2 separate regions of the Mus musculus genome follow, and region 2 is reported to be linked to region 1. Evidence: microRNA targets listed by miRTarBase, many of them from high-throughput screens and not tested one by one. Region 1 holds a microRNA gene; the other region holds the end of a gene's coding sequence.
What was found. The annotated mature microRNA mmu-miR-292a-5p reads ACUCAAACUGGGGGCUCUUUUG and lies in region 1 at 1,316-1,337, shown strand. An mRNA with a match to its seed (bases 2 to 7 or 8) in the 3' UTR can be bound and repressed. Matches are read on the target gene's strand: a 7mer-m8 pairs with bases 2 to 8, a 7mer-A1 pairs with bases 2 to 7 and ends in A, and an 8mer does both.

Region 2: the mRNA of Cbln3 is a reported target of mmu-miR-292a-5p. Seed matches in the 3' UTR shown: 7mer-A1 at 1,845-1,851, 8mer at 2,743-2,750 and 7mer-A1 at 3,546-3,552.

The regions. Positions count from the first base shown.
Region 1 is chr7:3,217,885-3,222,035 of GRCm38, forward strand. Mir292 (microRNA 292) reads left to right here and starts at 1,305; the gene lies at 1,305-1,386. Nlrp12 (NLR family, pyrin domain containing 12) reads right to left here. Exons shown (of 10, transcript NM_001033431.1): 10 at 3,626-4,151. It overlaps Mir290a (microRNA 290a), which reads left to right and starts at 742; the gene lies at 742-824. It overlaps Mir290b (microRNA 290b), which reads right to left and starts at 811; the gene lies at 754-811. It also overlaps D7Ertd143e, Mir291a, Mir292b, Mir291b, Mir293 and Mir294, and 1 more gene.
Region 2 is chr14:55,879,533-55,883,532 of GRCm38, reverse strand. Cbln3 (cerebellin 3 precursor protein) reads left to right here. Exons shown (of 3, transcript NM_019820.3): 2 at 1-66; 3 at 356-4,000. The coding sequence ends at 553. Among named protein-coding and RNA genes, the nearest start is that of Cbln3, 2.7 kb to the left of the region's middle.

The DNA.
Region 1 (4,151 bases):
ATACCTCCGGCGTGCTGCTTCTCACATAGGCAAAGGTAATATTTTTAGTTTCAGATTTTTTATTTCCTTCAGTTCTGTGGTTTTAATCTACCTGGTTTAGAGAGGCGAAAGTAGATCCAGGATTTCCAGAAGAGAGATCTTCCTGCTTCAACTTTGGAGATGACTAGCCAGGCTGGCCTTTAACTCTCATTTCTGCCTGCCTCTCTGCCTCCAGATTAAAGGTCATCACGGCCATCTTCATTCTACTTTTTAAAAACTAGAGCCCCTTTTTTAAAAGGCAGGCTAGCCGCGAACTCAGCCTTCCTCGCTCGCCCCCACGGTTTGGCTGGGTTTACTAATCCCGAGGCAGAGGCAGGCCCATCTGAGGTTGGTCTGGTCTCCAAAGAAGACATTTAGAACTAATGTGTGTGGAAAAAGAGTTGGGCTTTTTTTTCTGACTTGGTCTACATAATTTCAAGGGAGGAACGAGCCTATGTGGGGAAAGTGAGTAGTCTGGGCGCGAGTGAAGTTTGGGGACCAGAAACCAAAGCTAGGAGTTACTGAGGGCAGGTCTAGGGAGTCTATGCAGTACATTTCATTAACTACGTGGTTTCATTGTAGAAATTTTGAGTTTCACTATACCTTGAGTTAGACCGATGTACTAACTCTTCCTTGATTTCATCCAGGTTTCCTTCAGGTTGGAGTGAATTTTAAGTTCTCCACGTTCTTTCCTCCTGGTAAATGTTTTAACGTCTGGACCGCCTCATCTTGCGGTACTCAAACTATGGGGGCACTTTTTTTTTTCTTTAAAAAGTGCCGCCTAGTTTTAAGCCCCGCCGGTTGAGAAAACGGCTATCTGGCACATTTACCAGCCCTGGTGCCACGTGTTCCGGGTTAACTGCAGCGTGGTGAGTACGGATTCGAAGAAAGGAATGAGACTGAGTATAGCGAAAGGCTAGGGATGGGCATCCTGCCCAGTAGACGGTAACTGAGGTGGTCGTTGTAGGGTACCTGGGGGCTCCATGTGCGTCCTGTCGCTGCTTGGAGCTGTTACACCTATGTAGCGGCCATCAAAGTGGAGGCCCTCTCTTGAGCCTGAATGAGAAAGTGCTTCCACTTTGTGTGCCACTGCATGGGGAAAACATCATAGCTTTGCATCTGACGCATCGGTTTACAGGAGCGGACAACCTGTGTGGGGGTTTAGGCTTGGAGTTTAATGGGTCCTATCCTAAAGAGGGCGGTTCAGTTGGGTGCCACGAGACGCGGATGGATGTAAGGCAGTCGTGAGTCCAGGTGCATTGTAGATTGTTCTTAAGCTTGACCTCCAGCCTGTGATACTCAAACTGGGGGCTCTTTTGGATTTTCATCGGAAGAAAAGTGCCGCCAGGTTTTGAGTGTCACCGGTTGAGAACTCAAAACGGCTAAGAACTAAGAATTAAGTTTTAGTGGGTCATGTTTTCACTGGGGTTGCATTTCTGGGCAGGTGGGTGTCACATGTGGGTTTGAGTCCGAACACTTGGGCGCATGCGGTACTAAAGGCTTTCCGCGTTCATAAAGGAGCCGGGATCCCACATGGGCCTCGCTCGGAGGAGCTGAGCCTCAGGTCTTGGAAGTTGGAACATACAGTGTCGATCAAAGTGGAGGCCCTCTCCGCGGCTTGGCGGGAAAGTGCATCCATTTTGTTTGTCTCTGTGTGTACATGGCGTCTGAAAAGCCGGCTGCAGCTGCAACCTGGAATCGCTTACCTGCTTGAAACAGGTATGTGTGCTGGAGGTGAATTCGTTGCCACTGGCTACTCGAGCTGCAAGGCTGGAGGTGAGGAGGAAGCAGGGCAGGGTGGAAGGAGGCACTCCAGGTCCAGGGGTGGTGAGTCTAAGCCTCAGGTCTGAGTAAAGAAAGGCCTACTTTTAAATCTCACGTGGCCGCCATATTAAGTCCTCTTTCAATTTTTTTCCTTTTTCTCCAAACAGGGTTTCTCTGTAGCCCTGGCTGTCCTGGAGCTAACTCACTTGTAGACCAGCCTGGCCTCAGCTCCATCCACCTGGGATTAAAAGATCCTATATATCTTGCTTGACTACTGTAGTTGCTATATCTTGCTTGACTACTGTAGTTGGACTGATGGTTGTGAGTCTTGATATGGTTGGATTGAATTTTTAGGACCTGCTGGCTGTAGCTGACTTTAACCTGGCTCCTAGCACAAACAAGCTTGGTGGACAGCCGGGTAGATAATACCCATAATACCTTTTGGCTTTACAATAGCCCAGGCTCATGAGGGCTGGGATTACAGGTGTTACATTGTGTGCCCTAAGCATAATCTTCATGGATTCTCTTTGTTTTTCAGGTGTTCCAGTTGAGTTGAATGTAATCCTGCCTAGCCTGGGGTACTTACTTGCCTTCAACCTGCCTGGCTGGCTGGTCTGGCTAAGAACTGACTATAAAGTTTCAGGTTTATTACCACAGCAGGTCCCTGTGGAAATGCTTCAATCTGTGGTACTCAAACTGTGTGACATTTTGTTCTTTGTAAGAAGTGCCGCAGAGTTTGTAGTGTTGCCGATTGAGAAACTGCAGTTGGCCTAAGTGTTGCATCATTTGGGTGTCATCTGTGGGTATGATTCAGTCTGTAATGGGGCAAAAGTAAAAGCTGAGGTGCACGGAACCTCACGGGAAGTGACCCAGATTTGACAGGTACTGTATTACATATAGCTGCATTTATCCTTTTGGCATTGAATAATCCTTAATCTTCAGTTCAGTTGTAGGCATGTTTGGATCTAGCGAAATTCCATATAGCCATACTCAAAATGGAGGCCCTATCTAAGCTTTTAAGTGGAAAGTGCTTCCCTTTTGTGTGTTGCCATGTGGAGAAAGCATCGGAACTTCAATCAACCAGAGACTCCTTGCTTGCTCATCTTGGTGAGACTCAAATGTGGGGCACACTTCTGGACTGTACATAGAAAGTGCTACTACTTTTGAGTCTCTCCTGTGGGCACCATTCACAGGTCGGCTGCTTTCATGCATGTGTAGTGTGTATCTGAATCCAGATGAAGGTTTCCTGGAACTGGGACATGTGGGTGCTATTGAATGAACCAAGGTGCTATGGGAGCAACCAGTGCCCTCAGCCTCCAAACATGAATAATAAAGTCTTGTTCTCTTGATTTTGCTGCTTTCTCAGTTTTTGTTTTAAAACACCCGCCATGGTTCCTAGGGATAAAAAAAGCTTGCAAGCATGCAAGCACCCTTTTAATCACTGGGGTTGAGACTAAAGGTAATCCTGGGCTATACAGAAAAACCCTGTCTGAAAAAATCCCCAAAAGTTAAACCAACACATAGCTGGAAGTGTTTTCAACAGTAATAGGGCACCTTTTGGGAGACACCCCTGTTTGCCTCTTGGGATTTAGGCATGCCACCCCTCCAATGGTTTTAAGGAAGAATTACCCTGTACTAGCTTAAAGGTGCCTTTAAGCATAGCCACATTTAAGCCCACATTTGTTTATATACTGTGAGTCTTTTCCATTTCTATACATCATGGCCAGTTCCTTTTAGTGGAGTGTCTGGATGGTTACAAGCTAACCTGAAATGGGGTGGTGCCAGGTTTTAAAAAGTAGTGGGTTGGGGAGCAGGGTGTGGGGGAGGATATAGGGGACTTCTGGATAGCGTTTGAATTTAATATAATAAAGGTAGATCTCTGGGTACTGTACTGGAAGTGGGCGGAGTTATCCCATTATAAGTGGTGGAGCTACCACGTGGTTGCTGGGAATGATGTCTGCCAGGCCTCACTAGTGTCAGGTCGTGAGTCATGCACAGCCATGATTTCTGCATCCTTGGCCACCTTGCTCAGTTTTCTGGAGTGTTGAGATTCAATGCGAACACCACCACAGCTGGGCAAAATCTAATAACCCAGGATAGGATGGGAGCATTGGCTGTCAACTATACCAGGTGTGCAAATCTTGGGTTTTGAGGCCTCATTTGTAAGGTGCCTTATACCTTTAGCCCCAGCCCACTTTTTTTTCCCCCTGCTGTATAAAATTCAGGTGTGAGTACAATTTTTCTTTTTAAAGATTTATAAGTGTTCTGTAGCTATCTTCAGATTCACCCAAAGAAGGCATTGGATCCCATTACAGATGATTGCAAGCCACCATGTAGTTGCTGGGAATTGAACTCAGGACCTCTGACTT
Region 2 (4,000 bases), not on the chromosome of region 1:
CCTGTCCGTGGAGTCTACAGCTTCCGATTCCACGTGGTCAAGGTGTACAACCGCCAAACTGTCCAGGTGACCTAAGTGCCAGTCCACCTCCGGGGGGAAGGGAGGGTCATAGTGGACCGCAGCACATCCCTGGATAGCCCTTCTGTTGGACCTGTATCCCAGGGACCAGGAGCAAGGGAGGAAAGGCTAGCAGGGTATGGCAGATGTACAGAACCCAACACTGGCCACCCCTCAGTGCTCACTGGAGAGCCCACTGACCCTCAAGTTCCCAAAAGAAAACTCTTGGGAGGATGGGGGGCGGGGTGTCCTGAGCTAAGGACTAGGACATAGATGCTAACTGGGCTCCCCTCCCCAGGTGAGTCTGATGCTGAACACATGGCCGGTCATCTCAGCCTTTGCAAATGACCCTGATGTGACCCGAGAGGCAGCCACAAGCTCTGTGCTGCTTCCCCTGGACCCGGGGGACCGTGTGTCCCTGCGCCTGCGTCGGGGGAATCTTCTGGGTGGCTGGAAGTATTCGAGCTTCTCAGGCTTCCTCATCTTCCCACTCTGAGGACCCAAGCCTTTAAACGGAGATGTCTAGCATCTTTCTGCCCTTCCCTGCCCCAGAAACAAAGTATCTTTGGAGCAAGAGAAAGGCCCCCTCCAGGCTGCCTACGGCCCACCTCCTTGCATGAGATCATAGTTAAACACCCAAGGCTAGGAGCAGAGCAGAGCTACGGAACCTCTAGACAAAACGCCTCACTCAGGTCGCCCTCCCAGTCTCCTGCTGCCCCTCCTGCCCCTCCGCAGCTCCAGTTTAAGGCAGGGTTTGCTAAGAGGGAAGCTTGCACTTCTTCACAGACTCCACTCCTCCTGTTCTCCACCCCAGCTTCCTGCTCAGCGCTATTTGGTGACAGGTGGCGCAGGTAAGCTTGACAGGCTCCCACAGGGGCCCAGATGGACCAGCCTCATAGTACCTGCGGGCTCCATCCTGTGAGGAATGCCAGCAATGAGAGCTCTCGGCCAGCACCCTGTGAACAGGGCTGACAGCTCAACCACAAAAAAGCAGTGTGGGGAAGGCCACAGAGCATCCGTAGCTGGAGAGACAGGATGGGGCCATGTGCCTACCCTGAACATGTAAACATTCTGCAGGTAAACTGGGACAGTCAGAAGGCAGGAATCCTGCCGTCCATCTGTGCCAGGTCCCAATGGACTCTGGCCCTCATTGCCTGACCAGAGGCTTGGGTGTGTGTGTGTGTGTGTTTGCTCTGGCTAATAGGGGAAACTAGAGCAGGTATACAGACCTGGAGGCAGAGTCAAAGGTCACGAATGAGTCATCAGTAACCACATGTCCTCTCCCTCAGCCACCTCCTAGAACTGCCCCACCTTGGAAATCTGAATTTCAGTCACTCCCTACTCTTGATCGACATGTAGTTCCTCCAGCTGTCTCCCAGCTAATTTCCCTGTAGTCTGCTCCCCCCCCCAAACGCATCGTTCTTCCTCTACTTCTACTACTGTCTTACTCTTCTTTTAAGGTCTCCTGTTACCTGGGAGTCCATGACTCATCTCCCCCAACTAGTATCCCACCAACATCAGAAACTCTTTTTACCCAGTTGTCCCAATGGTCCAGCATGAACGGACCTACCTAGAACAACTGGGGAGCTGCGGCTGTTAAAACAGTGACTTGTCCTGTTCGTGAGGGTGTGAAACAGGGACTGCAGGACTACAGCATGCTGAAGAGAAATAAATTCAAAGCTGGGCATAGCAGTCAACGTTTTTAAAGTGCTATAATATAAAGTACTCGTGCTAAATAAATACCAGGGCAAGTTTGTGGTTTTTTGTTTTGGTTTGGTTTTTGGTTTTTTGAGACAGGGTTTCTCTGTATAGCCCTGGCTGTCCTGGAACTCACTTTGTAGACCAAGCTGGCCTCGAACTCAGAAATCCGCCTGCCTCTGCCTCCTGAGTGCTGGGATTAAAGGCGTGTGCCACCACACCCGGCAAGTTTATGGTTTTAAAATAAAAATCTAGGTGTTCATTCAGGAGACAGAGGCAGGTGGATCTCTGTGAGTTTCAGGCAAGCCATAGTAAAACCTGTCCAAAAGAAAGACAGAGAGACAGAGACAGAACAAAGAAAGAAATAAGGATGGAGGTGTCACTCAGAGGCAGACGCTAATACGCATGAAGCACTGGGTTTGAACCCCAGCACTGGGGTAGGCGGGTAGGGAGTAGACAAGAGGGGGAGGGGCAGCACTTTCCTTCAGCATTTGTCCTTACTTTGTGGCCAGGAAGAATAGTTTAAACAAGATAAGATAATATTTCTGTCTCACATGGAAGAGTCTGCAGCTGGGGAGTTCAGGATAAACAGCTGCTTAGAACCACAGAGCCCAGTCTTCCCTTTTGGGATGCCTCTCTGGCATGCCGCCTCATGGCCCAAGATGGCTTCGTGCAGGTCAGCATTACATCCCAGCAGCGCTGGAAAAAGGGAGAGAAGAAAGAACACAGCTCCTTCCTTGAAAGGTTTTCCGACCGCTGACAGCTGCCTACACACATTTCTGATTGCATCTCATCGCCAGAATGGAGTCACACTTGGCCACACCAAGCCAGGACAGGCAAGGAAACAATCTCACAATCTTACCTTTTTGTCATATTTTCCATGTGCATGCACCTGGGACGTGTGTGTGTGTGTGTGTGTGTGAGAGAGAGAGAGAGAGAGAGAGAGAGGGGGGACAACTTTGGGTGTTGGACCCCACCTCCCACTATGTTTGAGACAGGGACTCTAATTTTTCATTGCGTACACCAGGCTAGCTGGAACCTTCTGGAATTCTGCCTTCTCCTTAAAGTACAGGATTACAAATGCATGGACTATGGCTGGCTGGAATATGAACTCAGGCCAACAGGTGTGCACAGCAAGTGTTCTAACCACTGGACCACCTCCAAAGCCCGTAGACTTTATTCCAGGCCATCACATCCAAAATCAGGATCTTATAGTAAGGAAGAAGAGTAATTGGACATTGGAAGTTTTTCAGAATACAATAAACTAGATCAGCCCGTTAACACCGGGAGGTACACGATGCTCTTTATTTATTTATTGCACCTTCTATATGTCAACAGTCTGGAAAAGCGTGACTATTCTCTGATAAAGTTTCACAACGCTGAAAATAAGGTGGCAGGTGGTACCCTTCCTTCCCAGAAGGAAAGAGAGAAGAAGACACTTCCAAATTCATTTAGTGCTCAATCCCTTAGAGCTGTAGTGCTGATATCCTCAGGAGCTTCTGTTTTCCAGCTAAAACACACACAGCACAGCCCCGCCCTCTGACTGGCTCCAGCCTAAACCTGCCACATCTTTCTGATGTCCATAGGAAAAGTTCCTGTAGGTTGAAAATTCGATGCTTAGACTGGACCCACCGAGAATATACAGAGCAATCTTTCTATTTTAAGGTCCCCACCAGCAGTGTATTTGCAAAGTCCCCATGCCATGTAAACGCATATTGAGATATCTTGGTGATTAGAGTATAGACTCTGAGATATCTGCATAGCACAGACTTAAAATCTCAAGATGATGTTTTGAGAAAACACTTGGCACAATTCACCCACTGAGATACTCAAGACAAAGAAGATCAACATAGGCTTTGGTTTTGGTTTGTTTTACTTTTTAGTTTATTTTTATTTTATAGTGTTTTGCCTGTGCACCACATACATGCAGTTCCCTTGGAGGCCAGAGGGGGTGCCTCAGATCCCTTGAGACTGAACTGCAGTGGCAGTGAGCCACCTTATGGATGCTGAGAGTGTAAGCTGGATCCTCTACAAGAGCAGCCAGAGCTCTTATCCATTACTCCATCTCTCCAGCTCGCTCCTCCACTCACACACACTCTGGTTTTAATCATTTTAGAAGGTAAATCAGTTCCTACCCAAACAAGAATTCATTGGTTGATAGTCCAAGACTTCCTTGCCATGAAGAAAATGCCCCTCTTTTCTTTTGACCCAGAAACAGATGTCTTGTCTTTAGGCCACATAGCCG